2 linked regions of the Schizosaccharomyces pombe genome follow. The protein of the gene in region 2 interacts with the protein of the main gene of each other region in a pairwise test. Each region holds a gene or a part of one and is shown on either strand. Other genes may lie near its edges. The genes, in order: alp7 and nuf2.

What was found.
Region 1: the proteins of nuf2 (region 2) and alp7 interact in binary tests that used the Schizosaccharomyces pombe proteins (3 or more experiments, as listed by UniProt).

The regions. Positions count from the first base shown.
Region 1 is NC_003424.3:5,001,719-5,006,501, forward strand, and holds alp7 (kinetochore-associated protein Alp7), read right to left. Parts: upstream 2,768-4,783; 5' UTR 2,478-2,767; coding exon 1,053-2,477; 3' UTR 682-1,052; downstream 1-681. Other genes in the region: tbc13 (GTPase-activating protein), read right to left, coding at 1-258; serine/threonine protein kinase Ppk16, read left to right, coding at 2,953-2,976, 3,024-3,117, 3,185-3,234, 3,403-4,783. UniProt on the Schizosaccharomyces pombe protein: Required for bipolar spindle formation and proper chromosome segregation. Has an indirect role in connecting the kinetochores and the plus end of pole to chromosome microtubules by targeting alp14 to the spindle pole body.
Region 2 is NC_003424.3:4,321,020-4,325,214, forward strand, and holds nuf2 (protein Nuf2), read right to left. Parts: upstream 2,205-4,195; 5' UTR 2,189-2,204; coding exon 863-2,188; 3' UTR 501-862; downstream 1-500. Other genes in the region: ubiquitin hydrolase Uch1, read right to left, coding at 1-456; SPOM_SPAC27F1.05C (aminotransferase), read right to left, coding at 2,633-4,087. UniProt on the Schizosaccharomyces pombe protein: Acts as a component of the NMS (Ndc80-MIND-Spc7) super complex which has a role in kinetochore function during late meiotic prophase and throughout the mitotic cell cycle.

The sequences.
Region 1 (4,783 bases), 680 kb from region 2:
TAGAGTTAGTTTCCTCCAAGGATCAATAAGAAGCTCTTGAACGAAAGATGTATAAGTTTTTCGATGTTTTTCTAGAACTGATTGCCAGTTTGATCTATCGGTAGGAAGGAACTCAAGCATCAACATCCAAGCTTTTGCCCTAAGTGAATATTCATCAGGAATTCCTTGAATACAAAGCGAGCATAAACCAGGGAGAGAAATTGGCTCTTCCGAATTTAAAATGTCTTTAAATTTTTCAATGCGTTGCTTATAGTCCATAATAAACTAGAAGCGATTCAAATAAGATATTATGTAGTTTGACTATATCCAATTTAGTTATATTATCATATATAAAATATTACTGTTGAAAATTAAATATATGAAGAAAAGGAGAGCGCAATTGGTGTGTTCAGTAGCCTGTTTCACACGTGGATGATGGAACTAAGTTAGCTACTAAAATTGAATGCAAGTTTAAGAACCGACTAAATTTTCTGACTTATTTTTTATACTAATTTCCTTCTTAACAATACTTCCCTAATCAAATACTGTAGGAAAGTACAGAGTAATGAACGTCCTTAGTAGATGTACAGTATAGGTAAGATTGATGTAGGTGCAACATACAGACCAGGAAAGAAATATTTGGTTTAAACAGCACCTAGAACGAGCAATTAATAATAATTGGATATTTATTAAATAAATGCACCGTTTTCTAATGTATGTATGTGAGAAATTAGCCTTGAGATTGGCTCCAGTTTTGATTCTATCTATAATACAAATAAAAGAAGAAAGAGTGGATATGCAATTTATATTAGGTTGTATATCGAACTGTTATGATGTATAAATATACGAAAATTGGTAGATAATGTATAACCATAAAAGAAGGCTTAATTAATGGAAATCAAAAGAATTCGGGTTGTATTCATGAAACTGGGGTCATCAATATGAAACTAAATTAATCATGAGAATACAGAAGTGGTTTGGATAAAGGAAACGGCATCAATACATTAGCAATACTCTATCAAAAAAAAAAAAAAAATTATGGAGATTGTTTTTATCAAAAATGAAAGCGCAGATCATGATTTTTGCTCCAAATTCAGTTGATCCATTGCAATTACCAAGTCCTCGCTCATTTGTATCAACTGTTGTCGTTCCTCCCTTTCGACCCGGAGCTCTTCTTGAAGCGCTTGCAGTTGTAAACGAAGTGTTTCCAAATCACCTGTCTGTTGTGATTGTTGTTGCATTAGTAACTTATCACTCTTCGCCATATCAGCTTTAAAATTGTTCAAAAAATCTGACATATCTTGGCGCTCTTGAATGGCTTTCTCCAGCTGTTTTTGGAGAGTCTGATTGTCTGCTTTCAATGCTCGCCTTTCTTCCTCCCAGTTACTGTTGGATATTTTTGGAGCATTAGGAGCAGTACCGATTTGATTTTGAAGCTCCTGTATAGTTGCCTCGTATTTTCGAGCATAATTGGCTTTGAAAGCATTAATTTTCTGAGTGTGCTTGGCTGAGTACTGAGCATGTAAATCTTCAGCAACTTTTTCCATGCGTTCTTGAATTAACTTGTCAACTTCCTCTTGAGTATATTTACCTCTCTGAAGAGCTAATGTCTCTTCATTATGCCCTTCAACAAGTCTCATGTTGGTATCCTTTGTGGAGGGACTAGTCGATGCTTTTCCAGATCTAAGTTGCTGAAGTTGGTCATTAACGGCAATCAATTGTCCCGAAACATTGACGATTGTATTTTGGAGTACGGAAATTTCATGATAAGTGCCAGCAAGTTTGGCTTTGTAGCCCTCTATTTCAGCTTCGTATTTCGCTTGCTGCTTTTGAGTGGAATTAATTGGGTATTGAGTAGGTATATCGGCCTGTGAAGTTGATGGTGTAGCAGAGTTGCGAATGTTGTCTTTCAAATGCACTGGTGGGTTCAACGGCGCCGTATTAGTTTGACGTGGGAAGCTTCCGTTTGAAAGCACTGGGGGCCTAGAACTAGCTGATGTTTGCAAAGATGATGAATGACTGTATGCAAAATTAGATGGAGCGGTATTTAAAGAGCCTCGTTGGGAGGCCGCATTGGACGATGAAAATAAAGAAGGATTCTTCGGCGTCAAAATAGATTCTACATTTCTTTTTCTATGCTTAAATTCTGGCGTTTTATGCTGTGACAAAGGATGGGATATGGGATGCATCGGTCTAGGGGTTCCTGAAAAATCAAAAGATTTATTCAACTCTAAGGCTTGTAGTCGATCGCTTACTCGCTTATTAAGAGTATCCTTTAAATTCAGCTGTGGATTGGGTTTAGAAGTTAACTTAGGGAATAATTTAGGGGCAGGCATGGATTCCTCTGAACTTCGTTGAGCTGGAGGAATCAATGATTCTGAAGAGGCACCTTGCCTTTTTTCATGAAAACCCGTATGATCAGTTTCATTTGTCCCAATACTAGATGAGGAGGGAGACCTCCTACTGTAATCTGTAGAGCTCGAAACGATATCACTCATTTTCGGTTATGACTTTTTAAAATCGTCAAACGATATAAAGAACTAACAGATATATGAAATATAAATACACAAGAAAATCCTTTTTCAAATATTTTACAGCTGGTATTATCGTTTCAAAGTTAACGATCAGTAGCTAACTTTTATTTTTACTTTTTGAAAACTGGTCAGATGTCCGCCTACGTAGAACAATGGTTCAATAACAAACTTGAGTCATACAATGCCCAATAAATAACCCCTTATTGCCCTCAATTCTTCGTCTTGATTCAACACTAGGCGTACAATGGTGGTGTAAATAAAAGGCACATACATACTGGTTTACACTGAGTAAGGAGAGAGTGGGAAGAGTTCACCGAGCTCTCGGTGAATTTTCGGTAGCTTGTTCTCCGAAGCCTTTGTAATAACACCAAAGTATCCTACTGTAAACACTAAACAATTTGCAAGTCAACCTTTGATATTATGTGTGCCAAATTTTAGTATGAAGAAAAATGAAAAGGCAAACGTATGTATATGAAAAGAGGGAAATCGTGATTATCTAATGAATGGCAGATATCGGCCTCATACAATGACCTAATTGCAACAATTTGCAATCCTCGTATCTCTGATGTCGGTACATATCGCATTGAGAGTGTTGTCGGTGAAGGTACGATACTTTTGTGTTATTGTGAACGCTCAATACTGGACGGCTATCTAACAAGCATGGGTTGTAGGCAGCTTTGGAAAAGTTTATTTGGCAGCTCATTTACTGACAAATACAAAGGTATGGGTTATTCAAAGATTACTATGTCTCTAAGTTATAAAAAGAAGAATAAACGGCTCGTAAATTGCGAATATTGACCGTTCCAAAGTCGGTTGATTACATTATGAGAATGATAAACGTTTTATTCATCAATAAATTGATTGTACCTTGCTAACATTTTTATTAAAGGTTGTCCTGAAATCATCTTGCAGGAAACAAGCGATTATCCTTGCTCGAGAAATTCATCATCATCGGCGTCTTCTTCATCCAAACATCACGAGGCTTTATGAAGTAGTATGCACCGAAGACCGAATTTATCTTGCCATGGAGTATTGTCCAAATGGTGAATTGTATGACTGGGTAGCGAGAGAAAAAAGGCTGGATGAAAAGACCACTTGCCGTATCATGTGGCAGCTATGCTGTGCTATTCAGTATTTACATAGACAAGGCTGTGTTCACCGTGACCTTAAACTCGAAAATATTTTTCTAGATAAAGCCTACAATGTTAAGCTTGGAGACTTTGGGTTTTCTAGAGATTCTGATTGTTCCCGTAGAACATTTATGAACACACGTTGTGGTACAGTTGCTTATTGTGCTCCGGAGCTAGTACAGGGCCATAAATATATTGGTGAATGCGTTGATATATGGTCTCTGGGTATAATTATGTACGCTCTCTTAATAGGAAGGCTCCCGTTCGACGAGGACGATGTATCTTTAACTGAGCAAAAAATTATCAATGAATGTCCTCAATATCCTGAAACACTCTCCAAAAACTCTTCAAGCTTGTTGAAATCCCTCCTTTGCAAGGATTACCGACTTCGACCCTCTATCGATCAAATCATCTCTCACCCCTATTTCAAGGAAAATGGATATCATTCATCTTCTATTCGAGACCCAAGGCCTTCCTCGAAAGCAGAGGAAAAAGTTCGTAAAAGGCTTGAATTTGTTGGTGTTGACATGGATCAACTTAATGCCAGCATCTCACAACAGCGCTGTGACATGTTCTATGGATGGTGGCTTTTATTACTAGAAAAAGAAATGCGTAAGGAAAACAAAAAAAAGAAAGGTTTGTTTCATTTACATAAAGGTTCATCTTCGGCTGTACACATAGCTCCAGCAACTCCATCATTAAAAACCGCTCAAGTTTCTGTTATGTCCAACAATCAGGATTCTTTAAAAAGTCGGCATACATCGTCAGATTCAAGTAATTCTTTGCTTTCTACATTTCGTAGTTGGTTATTCGATCCTAAACAAAAGCATACTGCTGATACGTTAAGCTCATCAGCAATTAGACCAAGAACACCTAGTCCTTCGGCTGAAAACTATTTAACTCAAGAAAATTTTGATTCCGATAATTTATCTGAGTCTTTAGACAATTCAGTTGAGAACCTTACCGTGTTTCCTTCGATTAACAGTTTTGGAAGAAGACACTCAAATCTTCCTCAAACAACGCACGTTGATACAGGTGAGCAAAACACACCATTCACTCCTCCTCTTTTAAAAACGGTAAACCTCGACGGTAATAAAGACTTTACCTTCCCCTCGAACTCTCAAAATAGCCCTTCTAAAA
Region 2 (4,195 bases):
ATCTTCCTCAGACCCCTCTACTTCCAAAGGTGGACCAGCAAATGCTGCATGTAAAGCTTCAAGTTCTTTCGAATCCTCGATAAGCTTAGCCCTTTCTTCGATAGATGAACCTTCAGCAGTTCTGATTAGACTTTTAATAAAATCATTTTCATTGACTTTTCTTCTAAGTTCTCCATTCGAAACCGCATGTAGCAATCCAATCGTTCCGCAAGCATTTGGAATTGTTTGAGGGTACCACAAGACTTTGTCACTATCCTTTGGTAAAATTCGTGATCCTTTATATATAGTTTTTGTTCCTGAGGATGGAAAAACGAATAAAAGAGCATGGACAGGACGAGGGATATATTCGGGGATTTCCTCTAATGAAAACAGGTCAAAAACGCTAGCATCTTGTACACCGATTTTTTGTAAGTAAGGTTCCAGCACCTCTGGTGTATTTTCTAAAGGCCTCCACATTGTAATTTTTCTCGAATGATAAATGGCTCTAATTGAGGCTTTTTTGATCAGGTTTGGAAGGCGTGGCAGAGGTCTCAGAAGTCAGCAAAGAGGCAAAACACCAAAGTTTGACAAAGTTAATCGAATATCTTTAGATTGCCAATTTTGGGAATCTACAAAAAAGCTTTACTATAATCAGTATCCTATACTTCAATATCCTGTCACGTTCAGCTATGAAGATGACTGTAAAAATAGGGATTGTTCCATAGGTATATTATAAATAGAGTCATAAAATATTAATAATTACCAAGATTTACCTATATACATTTACTGTAAAATCTAAAATTCTGGCTTCGAAGTCCAACCAACGTTCTTATAGGTAGTGTTGAAATATTTGCACGAATAAAGATTTTTCAAAATGAAGATACTAAGAGTTAGAAGACCTTAAGTTTCTGAGAAGTTCAGCAATATAAAGCTCCACGTGCGATTTCAATTTTTCGAATTCCATAGTTATAGAGGATATTTGAGACTCCAGTTCTTCTCGCATTCCAGCAATTTTTTGTTCGGTCATCTCTATCATGGCATTTTTCTTTTCAGTCTCCTGAATCTTTTTATTCCTTTCTTGGGTAATTACTTTGTATTCTTCCCGTATGTTGTCCATTCGTTGTTTGGCAGCCTCAAGTTTTTGATTTCGAGAATGTTGTTCATGCTCGAGTTTTTCTTGAGCATTAGATAATTGCTTTAAAAGTTGTTCTTTTCTGAACTCAAGTTTTTTTTTGTTTATTTCTATTTGATCGCAAAGCTCTTGATTTGTAGAAAGCAACACAGTAGCATGTTCCAGTTTATCCAATTCTACAAGACATTCTTCAAGCACTTTCAAACAAGCATTCAAGTCTCCTTCAATTAACTGTAAACTGTTCAATTTTGTATGCAGAATTTTTGACTTTTTATCCAGTTCCACTTGCTGCGACCGATCATTTTGTATCCGTAACGATGTGTCTGCTATCTTTCCTTTCAGCTTTTCAGGAGAATGTACAATAGAGGACTGAAGTTTTTCAATTTCTTCCAAAGTACTGGCCATTAATGAATCGACGTTGTGATACCTAATCTTTAACTCTGAGGCCTCCATTCTAATGCGATCATATTCTGTACGAACTTGAGAGCACAATCGTTTGTCTTCTATCAAAGACTGAAACATTTCTTCGTTTCTTTCTTCATTCTGTTTAATAATTGCCTCACTTTCCAATTTCCTATCTTGGCTTAACAAAACTTTTTCCTCTAAATCTTTTCGTTGTGCATCTAAAAGGGTATACGTTTCCAGAAGGCTTTCTCGCTTCTGTATATCATCATCAAATTGCTGTAACCTCTCTTCTCTGAGTTTTGCAAAATTAATAACTGCTGATAAAATTAGTTGTAGTCGATTTCTGTCTGGTTTCAATAGGTCTTGAATCGTAAAGTCATGAAAACAGATGTTTTGCATGAATTGACTTAAAATCTGATAAAAAACAGTAAATCTTAAAGACTCATGTATTATCTCGAAATTCTCGACAGAATCTTGTAACGAATTAACCTTCTCTTCTAAATTCTGGCGGGTCAACCCCATAAACAAGTCAAGAAATTCTTCATACAGAGGGATGACGGCTTTCGAGGTTGGTTGGTCAAGCTCTTTAGCCGTGAATGGAATTCCAAGACCATCTATGCATTCTAAAATCTCAGCACGCTTCAAAGAAGGAAATGTGTGTTTTCGTGCCATGGTAAAGTTGATGGTTAACTGAACAACTGGATTTTACGTATTTAATCTGCTTTGATTGTGAATTTAATTATAAATATAATAAAATAAAATTTAAATTTTTTATTTAGTTGCATGTTCTAGATATTCAATTTTTCATTCTTTTTAAAAAATCAAGAACAAAGCTGAATTTCGTATAAGTTTTTCTTCTGTCATACATAGTAAATTAACAACTCCGTTTTATATATCTTTTTTAAAAAGTGAACGATTTGATTTAAAATAGTTCTATATAGTTTATATAATTTTACAATCGATGGTTTATCTCAAACGTTGCATGTAAGCAAGAAACAATATAAGGAGCATATAAAAGCTGAAACTAGATAAGAAGATAAAAAAATTAACATTTATGCCTGATGACCCAACTTTACTAAAAGCCTGAAAGGGCTAATGATAGATGAAACCAAAGTTTTAGGTTGACTTGGCTGCAACAGCTTCCTTAACCTTAGCATCAAACTTTGCAACAGCAGATTCAACGGCTGACAAACCTTCGTCTAAGTCGGCTTCTGGAATAGTTAAAGGAGGAAGGAAGCGGAAAACTGAAGGATTATTGAGTGAACAGTAGACTTGGACGTGATATGTATCGGCAAGGTCATTGACAATAGGAGTTGCATAGTATTCGCCGAATTCTTCTTGAACTGACTCAGGAATGGGATAAAATTCAATACCAACTATCATTCCTCGACCACGAACATCCTTCATAACATGAGGGAATTTTGTTTGAAGTTTATTAAGACGATCAAACATGATACCACCTAACTTGCGGCATCTAGAAAGAAGGTCGTTTTGCACGATATAATCGATGGTAGCAACACCGGCGGCAAGTCCAAGAGTGTTTTCTTGATAAGTGGCAGTGTGCAGAAAAGCCGTTTCAAGGGAATTGTAAGCAGCATTCCAAAGCTCCTCTGTAGCGATATACCCTGCAAATGGAATGAGTCCGCCTGAAAATCCTTTGGCGAAAGCGATACAATCCGGAATGATGTTTTCGTATTCACAGGCCCAGAATTTACCGGTACGACCACAACCGGTTTGAATTTCGTCTAAAACGAGATATGTATCGTACTTAGTGCAAAGTTCACGAGCCTTTGCAAGATAACCTGGAGGAGGGACAATAACACCACCTTCGCCTTGAATAGGCTCAACAATGAATGAACGGTACATACCAGAGGATAAGGCAACTTGAAGTGCTTCCGCATCACCGTAAGGGACGTAGTCAACGTCGAAAGGAGCAGGACTTTGATATTTTTGCCATTTTTCTTTGCCGCCTAAAAAGACGGCACCAGTGGTTTTACCATGGAAAGAGTTCAAAGTAGAAAGAAACTTTTTCTTGTTAGGCTTATAACGGGTAGCAAGGCGAATCAATTTAATAACTCCCTCATTAGCTTCAGCACCACCGGTTGCAGTCCATGTGCGAGTAAGTTTTTGACCAGGAGATAGCAAAGCCATATTGCGACCAAAGGCAGCTGCAAGGTTACGATAGGAAATGGCACCCATCATATATAACTTGGCATCAAAGCATTTCTGTAAGCAATCCCAAACATACTGATTGTTGTTACCGACCGTTACGACTCCAACGCCTCCAATTAAGTCCAGATGCTCAGTACCCTTTTCATCAACAAAACGAGAATTATCAGCTTTCACAAAATTGCGAGCGTGGCCATGGACAGTGCGTAACTTGTTTAAGTGGTCGAGTTGTAACTTGACAGTCGTTTCTGGGTCCATTTTCATGGCTTCGTCGAAGCACCACAAACCCTCAGGATAATTGCTGGCTGTTCCATTTTCGGAGGAGGCATCGGTTTTTGAACCATTTGTGTTAAGTTCAACCGTCTTTGAGGTAGCAGTAGCAGTGGACGTGGAATCAATCATGATAAGTGCGTAAATTTAACGTAAATAAACGAGCAGGAAAGATAGTTCTTAACTCAAAGCTTCTTAAATGTAATTTCCAAATGAATCTTTACAGTATATGGTTACCTT